Drosophila melanogaster: one gene and its partner. The protein of the gene in region 1 interacts with the protein of each later gene in a pairwise test. Each region holds a gene or a part of one and is shown in the gene's direction. Other genes may lie near its edges.

Region 1 (3,380 bases):
CTCTCAAATTATCATGCAGATTTCCAGAAGCAAAGTGTATTACAAGAAGCCAAATATTACGTAGAATAAGTGTAGGTCAGTATCAATTGCGAAAGCGAAACGGAAACGGAAACAGAAACGAGAACATCCTGAGATTATGATTACGAACGCGTTGCCAAGTAGCCTGAAGAGCGAATAAGCGAGAAGATAGTGCTTAGATGCGCCAGTGAGTCAGTCCCCATGCTGATTTATAGTTTATAGTTTTCTTTTATTTACACCTAAATTATGAAAGCATTTTGATTTCCTTCATTTCATTATCGGTTTCATCCATGGATGCAAACAAGAAGCAAGCAAAACACGAGTACTTGGCGAATATTAAATTAAGCAAACAAGTTTTTAATTTGTACTTGATGGAAATACGTTTCTTATTAACCTTTAAGTTTACTCCTTAAGAAACTGATTTGTATAAGCTGCGCCCATATATACATACACACGAACATATATAATATATATATATAAATTTTATTGTAGTTACTACACAAAATTTGTCAAAGCAAAGAAAAACAAAACAAAATCCACAAAAGGAAAGAATCCAACATACAATTTAAGTTACCATACAATTTTTGTGATAAAACTAACAAATAAAATACAATTTATAAAACGCAAACTGTTTTTTAAGTGTTTTCTAAAAAGGAGTCCATTGTTGTATCCCCACCAGTAAGAATGCATTTCAAGTAGTTTTCGTTTAAGCCTAAACTTTATTTTACACTTATTTACTACAAAATATATGTATTCATAGAGCCGCTTATTATGCGTATTAAAAGCCATGTCAAGTTATGAATAACTTTTTCGCAGCATTAAAGCAGACTATGTTTTCCTACGCTTGTAATTTAAAAAGATCAACAACAAAAGAGGTTAACCCAAATCGCAAAGCGTAAATGCCAGTCGTAACAATCGCAGTGTTAATTTAAATTCACAAAGAATAAGATCCAAGCTGGAGCCAGCCATGCACTTACTGATAAACAACCACTGTGCGTGCACGCAATAAATATTTCATAATATTCAAACAATGGCTCCAACATGTGGTTAATAAACTAGAGAAATTTTGTAGATTACACTGAATTATCCTAAATTTAGACTTAGTTCTTCAGCTTTGGCGACGCTTTGCCTGGTTCAAGCTAAAATTAGAAACAATTCAACTAGTAAGTCCAGAGTTGGCTAACGGGGTTTGAGATGGTTGGTTTGGGTGTCTGTGGATGGGAACGGTTGGTGGGTGAAGCACAGGTTTAAGTGACGACGGCCGATCGCTTGTCACGATTCTTTCCACGTGTTATGGAGCGTGCCTTGAATGCAGCAGCATTCACAAGGTGCTGCAAAAGCAACAAATATAAATATATTAAAATTTGAAGCGAATGTTAACACATTTCAATCAACTTACCCGCTCCAGCTTGGTCGGCTTGACCTTGGCGTTTCCATTGATGCCTGTGTTCGTGGGTCGTGGTCCCAGCTGGAAGATGTCACGGATGAACTCGTTCTCCTGCAGCTGCGAGGTCATCCCGGGACCCATGACAGTGCACATGGCCGAATACTGATGATGGATGGACCAGGAATCTAGTGTCAGCGACTCGGTACCGAAACGAATGCTAATCTCTGGGGAAATGTCCTCCTGCAACGAGATAAAAAAAACTTTAAAATCAGGCTAGGCTACGAGCAAATATTCTAATCTCATTTCGTACGATTTTGAAATGTATCACTATTAGTTTCTCTATCAGATCAAACAGACCAAATTTCTCGTTAAAAAAAAAAAAACTACTAAAAAAAATTGTTTTGGCCAATTAGTTTTGTAGATTTCGTTATCAAGATGATGCTATCAACCTATCAGCACGACTATGTCCCGCCCAGTGCCAAACGGTACGAGTTTCTAACGCGGCCCAGGGGCGCCGAGGCTCACAGTGGTCCGCAGGTCAAGGAGTGCGAATGCGTCGACGAGTCCAAGATCATGATGCCGCCGAACGCGTCTAAGGACTGTGGCGGCGTCGAGTGGACGGGCATAGCGCCAATGGGAAAGCTGGTGGATCCGCGTATCATACCCACCCAGCTGACTCAGGACCAGGTGGACAAGATGGCCTTCTCCGCGGAAACAGATTGCTTTAAGCTGCAACCCAACCGCTTTCTCAAGATCTTACGTACAGTCTACCCGGATCTGTATGAACGCCTGAAGGTCATGCCCAAGGAGGAGCTGAGCCGCAGGCTGGAGACCAACCGTATGAACACCACCTATCAGATCGATTACTGTAACATGAACGAGTACCCGGAGGGTATTTATGAGAGCCTAAAGACGGAGGACGAGTCCAAGAACGCCAACAAGCTGATGAGCGAACGTGGACCCTGCAACGAGTTCCGCTCGAACGTGATGAACGAACTGGAGCGGGAGGCGTCCGCTGGCTACGAGATGTCTAGCGACGAGTGCCAAAAGAACTACAAGCCATTCAAGACCAGCTTCTCGGACTCCTCGCAGACCATCGAATCCGGCAGCAGTTCGCACTGGAACTCCGCCCCGACCACATACCGGAAGGTGCCGACCTTCAGCGAGTACATGGACTCGATAAGCCGGAACGGCTGCGTCATCATGCGCAACAAGTTGCACGATCACTCCAAGTGCTTGGCCAAGTACTGCAAGCACGAGCTCAAGTTCACTTGCACTGACATGAAGTAATCGTCCAAAGACTAGTGCATCTCGAGTCAAATAAATAAATGTAATCCCTATTGTTTAAGCGTAGCACTCGTGCAAATCTTCAACTCACCTCCAGGTATCGCAGCACATCACGGAAGGTGGCACGCTGGGCCTTGCGATCGCGCTTGGCGCGGTACTTATGCGAATCCGTGGCCAGCTGCTTGACGGCCTCCGATAACTCAGCGATGTCATCTTCTAGGAAATCCTCTTCGTGAGCACGTCCCGACTCCAGAATTAAAGCAATGGTCTCGCCAGCGGCCATGCGGACGTCCAAATGTGTAGATTGCAAGAGACCCAAGAACTTCTTAATAGATCTGCAAAGTTTAGTTTAAACAATTATAGCAATGGGTTTGAAAGTTAAATGGAACTTGCTCTTCAAACTTACGGAAACATGTTTTGGCCAGTGGTCATCAACGAAACAAAATCCCCCGAAGGTATAAGTGTTAGTAGAAGCCCCCAGGCGTTCAAGGCCTCCGCATGGAAAGTCCCAGCTTCGGCGGTGACGGATACCGGTGTCTTGTCATCGCCACGCAAATAACTGCCTGCGAAGATGGCCTCGAAGCTCTGCATCAGGTGTACCAACTCCCCAACATCCTCGCAGCCCAGGAAGCTCAACAATCCCACAGCTGTGCAGCACTTGGCACGGGCATCGAAGCCCACGGACTTG
Region 2 (5,299 bases), on another chromosome or scaffold:
GAGTCTTAGCATCGTCAAATTTCCATTTGCATACTTTGCTTTTATTTATGTTGGAGCACATAAATATTTATCCACAGATTCGGCCCGACTGACAATCCCGCCCACATATCACAGCACTTATCACATCCGCCTGCTTTTGGGCATGTGTGTGCCATAAATCGGGGGATTACGATCGTGGGAAGGGGGGTTTGGACCCATGGCAGTTTATTGAATCGGAATTCACAAAAATTCAATCTGCATGTAATTTGGCATTATAGACAGACCCTTCCCATTCCGCCATGCGGAAGGAGCAGCCAGTCTGACCCCCGATGAATGGGTTATCAAAATGTTGACCCGCCGATGGTCATTTGATGATGGGCAGCTGTAAGGAGATTAAACATTTTGTGATTTAATGTAAGCCCAGTGCTGTCCATAATTCGCTGCACGAGCTGTCCCAAACAAAAGACTCTTCAGCTGGACACCGACTCCTCCACCGCTTGCCCGAATGTGTCAAAGATTTTTTATTCGCCGCTTGGCGATATGTGGGTTTCTACGAGTTAACGGGGTCATCGACCACGTCGGGCGGATACACCTCTAATCCCCCCGCAATCAACGTGCAAAAAAGTCCACCAAAGTCCACAAAGAGACTTGAGCAGCCAACAAAAAAAAATATGGCAAAAAATGTAGTTCCAGGGGGCACCCGGATTTGAACCGGGGACCTCTCGATCTGCAGTCGAATGCTCTACCCCTGAGCTATACCCCCGACTTGAAAATGGCGAACTCAGAGCGCCTTTTAAAGTTCCCTGATGCGATAAAATTTCGCCTTTGCATTTATCTTAAAATAGAAATGAAATCAATTTGGAACAGAGTGACTGTTCCGCGAAACTGTGGGTGTGATTCACACGACGAATCTCCGGCAACTTGCAATCTTATCTGCGAGTAATGTGCCCCACCAACTCCCCGAACTTTCTCCTTTCGCCCGCCCCCTCCCCCAAAAGCAAACTGATAGCTAGCTGCAGACGGACGGACTGACAGATGTTTTTGTCATCCGAAAATAGCTGGTAACTCGAGCCAAGAAACTGAAACTTTCTCGGTCGCAGATATGCAGGTCACAGACGTCAGCATTGATATTGAACTTTTGGGCCACTTTGGCAAGTGTTTCGCAGCGACCTCTGAACTTTGCCTGCCAAGGGGTGAAACTTGCTACTCTGTCGGATGCACAAGAGCGATCGATGAGTGACAGAAGCTATTTCGCAACTTGAACCCATTTTATTGAACGGACTTGAGTGACTAATTAGCTGCCTATAAATGGCTATAATAGCACAAAGTTATACTCAGAAAATAAGAGCAATAAAAGGAGTAGAAGTGATTAATTAGACAGGCATAGATTGCCATAATAGAACAAACTGTTATCAAGACAATTAAAGTAAAAACCAGGGGAGTTAAATTTGATTTGGATGGCTTAGGAAGAATCGTGTAATCTAGATAGAGGGAAGGGGTTAAGTTTGCATTTCATTTCCGCATCGCTTTCCGCATTGCTTAGAAACCGAGCGGGCTTAGAGGTCTGGCCGACTTCCGGCGTGGGCCAGACGTGCTGGCTGGGTGGTAGCCACTCCAGACAGACACTTGTTCCCCCCCGTGTCAAGCAACCAACGACCTTGCCGCAACACGCTCCACATGCTGGCTGCATAAGTCGTTGGGTATTATATATAAATGCAGGTCTACCATCGCTCAGACAGTTTTATGTTCTGGCCAACGTGGTGAATCGAGTGCAGAAGCTCTGTTTGTGGAAAGCGCAGAAAGAAACGCCGAAAAATGTCGCAGCTGCAACTGCTGCTCCTCGTCGCTTCGGCCTCCGTGGTCCTCGCGGGATACAGCTCCTCCACCGACGAGTCGACGGACGCCTCCAACTCCATTGGCGGCACCAAGTGCGACAAGAACCCGCTGAACGAACTGACCTTCCAGCTCAGCGGCAGCAGCCTCCACTGGCCCTGCGAGTCCACCAAGAACATCTACGTCCAGTCCGGCCGCTATGTGCCCCGTAACGTGATCGTGACCCGGGCCCAACTGCAGCGGGACTCCGCCTTCGTGGCGCTGCCCAGGTACAAGCAGGGCGTGCCCTTCACTCTCGGCAAGGTCAATCTAAAGAAGGGCGAGTGCCTGACCAAGATCGCACCCTATCCCTGCTGGGCCATTCAGGAGGAGGGCAACTGCCAGGCGCTGCAGTCCGTCGTGGACATAGCCGTCGATCAGAATGTGAGTGCAATTAACGCCAGTATTGTTTGGACCATTTTTTTTTTGGGGGTCAGACAAGTTGTCTCGTCCAAACTGCCAGTTCTGCCTTTAATTACGGACTGCTCGTTGTTGGCCACCATGGAGGCATAGCACTTTAACCCACACCAAATGTTTAATTCATATTTGTATCGTGGGTGGATTACAGGGTAGCATTGAAATGCTCTTAGGGCTATTCACTTTTTTTTTCTAAAAATGATTTAGTTTATCTTCTGATATTGATATTGATGTGCAGTCGCAGTGTTAAATATTTGCTAGCCCTTACAAAGTCGATCAAAATCGGGAGTTTAGCTCCAGGGTATCGTTTTCGCATTAACCCCTTGCCGGACGCACTTTTTTAATTGGTTAGCCTCGCTGTCGACCAAATATTACTTTTTTAATCAAATAAACGGGGCCACAAAAGTGAAGAGCTCCAAATAAAATTCATGCCCGTCAATTGGCGGCAGCAATTTAAGGGTAGAATAAACGGATACGGAAACGCCGAAAAAGCTGTGGGGTAAATGGAATATTATAAAGGACAAGGACTGCAGCTGAAAAGTGACAAGCAAATGCAGTGAAAAGTTCTCGAAAATAATTTTGGAAATGCTGGGAACAGGCCATCCAGCCGTGTTTTGTGCATTTCGATTGCACTTCAGAAGTTCTCAGCTTTAATTTTAAATGACAGATGCATTCGCAGATATTACAATGATGCTATTAAATATTTACATGACCTACTTACGATTGCGAGCATAAGCTGCAACTTAATAATTTCCTTCAATTATTGTTGGCGTCGAATCGTTCTCATTTAAATGCCATTCCCGTTTAGCTGCATTTATGCAAATCATTTCTTTATTTTATTTACACAAAAGTCGACGAAACAATAACAAACGGCAAACAAACGAGGCGACTGTATTTATTTATTTGCGCAATTTTCCATTCAGTGCTTTTCGCTGATACTCATTTTATGGCCACATATTTGCGAATGTGGAATTTTTAACGCCGCCAACATTTCAATTAGCCGCCAAATGAAAACATTAACAACAATCAACACGAGCTGCAATTGATAGCAATTAATAATTGCCTTCTCCGTTCGCAGGGACTTCTGTGGGCCTTGGACGTGGGCATTGTCAACACCCTGGAGCAGCCCATCCGCAGATGCAGTCCCAAGATCGTGGCCATAAACACGGCCAACCACAAGGTGGTCAAGAGCATCGACCTCAGCGACCTGGTCACCTCCGAGAGTCGGCTGCAGTTCATCGTGGTCGACTACTCCAAGGACAACAAGCCATTCGTGTGAGTTCCATTGCCTATACTCTTTTATTACCCTTAACTTCATCTGTGAAATGAGTTGTACTTAATCACTTTTTGAAATACATCAACTATGAAATTAATACCACACATTACATTATTATTAACCATTATTACTAACCATTATTTATCAGCACAATGATATTCAGAGATTCATATTGCAGTCATAAAATATTCGTTGAAATCATCGAACTGAATCAAGAGTTTGGAGTACTTTTACCACACACTTTCAATCATGCTTTCAATCAGCGATCATTGAGCCAATCAAAAGGGCATTAGCCACTTTGAGGCTCATATCTTATCTGCTCAAGGTAGTTCTCAGAAGTGTGGCTCATCATATACCAAATAAAATCGATTTGTATTGCATACATGATATCTAATCTCATTCCACATTATATTTCCTTCACTTTCAACCATAGCTATGTGGCCGATGCTGGAGCACGTAGTATCCTGGTATACGACATCACCGGCAACAAGTCCTACCGCATCGTCCTGCCGAAGGCCACCGCCCCCACCAGCGATGTGCTGTACGTGGCGCTCACCTCGAAGCCGGACGGCACCTCCACCCTGTTCTTCAGCTACCTGAGCTCCCCCCGTCTGTACTCCATCAAGGGCGAGTACCTGCGCGTTGGCCAGGGAGCGGGCTCCATCATCGACGTGGGCCCCAAGCCCTATGGCAAACAGGCGGTGCTGCTGGGCGCCGACGGCGGCACCTCGCTCTTCTTCCGCTACAAGGGCGAGAACGACATTTACCTGTGGGACTCGGAGACCTGCTTCAAGGCCGCCAATCTGCAGGAGGTGCAGCGGGGAGGCGACTGCCGGCTGTCCACCCAAGTGCTCCCGGGTCACAAGCGATTCATGTGGGCGCTGGAGAGCAACTTCCACGATTTCATCTCGGATCGCACGGGCTGCAACGGAGCCTCGATCGTCCTGCATCCTGTGGTGCGGGAATGTGACGATTGAGTCCGTATCCCTCCACTTTCTTAGGCTTAAGATTCAAACTGATTTGTTGTCGTTACTGGGTCTCATTAAAATTTTGGTGAATATTTATAGTTATTTGTAGTTTATCTTAAAATGTTCAGAATGATTTCAATTTTTTAAATAGGCATTTACTTGAATCAATATTGGTACCATGAAAACAATTCATTACTCTGACTCTGATTGGCACTTTCGAGTCTCAGCATTGAAATACTGTCCCATTGGACAGCTGTAGATCTGCAGCTGGTGATCGATGCATATGCAGTACTCATCCTTGGTGGAGACATTGGGACAGCTGAGGATCTCAAAGTCCGAGCACTGATAGATCCTATCAGTCACGCAGGTCAGGATCTTAGGATCAATTTGGAAGCCGGCGGGACAGGTCATCACCTCCAGTTCTCCATCGACGCACTTGCAGTACTCGATCTCAGAGGTTCGGAAGGGGCATTGGTACCTATCGTTGTTCATGCACGTGTGGGACTCCATCGCCTGAATGCTCCTCATGCTCCTGGTGTCGGGCACACAGCTGTAGCTGTTGAAAACGAATCCCTCGTGGCACTTCATCATCAGCGGATACAGCGAATTGGCCGTGTCATTGACGCAGACGTAGAAGTACCGATTGTCGGGCGCCCATCCACCCACTTGTCCCGACCGACTGCAGGTGAACTGCTCCTGGATGCACTGCTCACTCTCCCGTGGCAGAACACAAGTGCCCGTGAGTGTGGAGTAGCCCGCTCCGTTGGAGCAGATGCGAGGGGTGTCC

The links.
Region 2: the proteins of CG8813 (region 1) and yellow-g interact in a two-hybrid assay, tested with the Drosophila melanogaster proteins (2 studies listed by BioGRID).

What each region holds. Positions count from the first base shown.
Region 1 is NT_033779.5:2,867,906-2,871,285, forward strand, and holds CG8813 (uncharacterized protein), read left to right. Parts: upstream 1-1,746; 5' UTR 1,747-1,840; coding exon 1,841-2,695; 3' UTR 2,696-2,744; downstream 2,745-3,380. Other genes in the region: Ifrd1 (Interferon-related developmental regulator 1), read right to left, coding at 1,266-1,349, 1,418-1,645, 2,784-3,027, 3,099-3,380.
Region 2 is NT_037436.4:2,269,187-2,274,485, reverse strand, and holds yellow-g (yellow-g), read left to right. Parts: upstream 1-1,716; 5' UTR 1,717-1,794; coding exon 1,795-2,235; intron 2,236-3,346; coding exon 3,347-3,543; intron 3,544-3,977; coding exon 3,978-4,521; 3' UTR 4,522-4,605; downstream 4,606-5,299. Other genes in the region: CG32302 (uncharacterized protein), read right to left, coding at 4,705-5,299.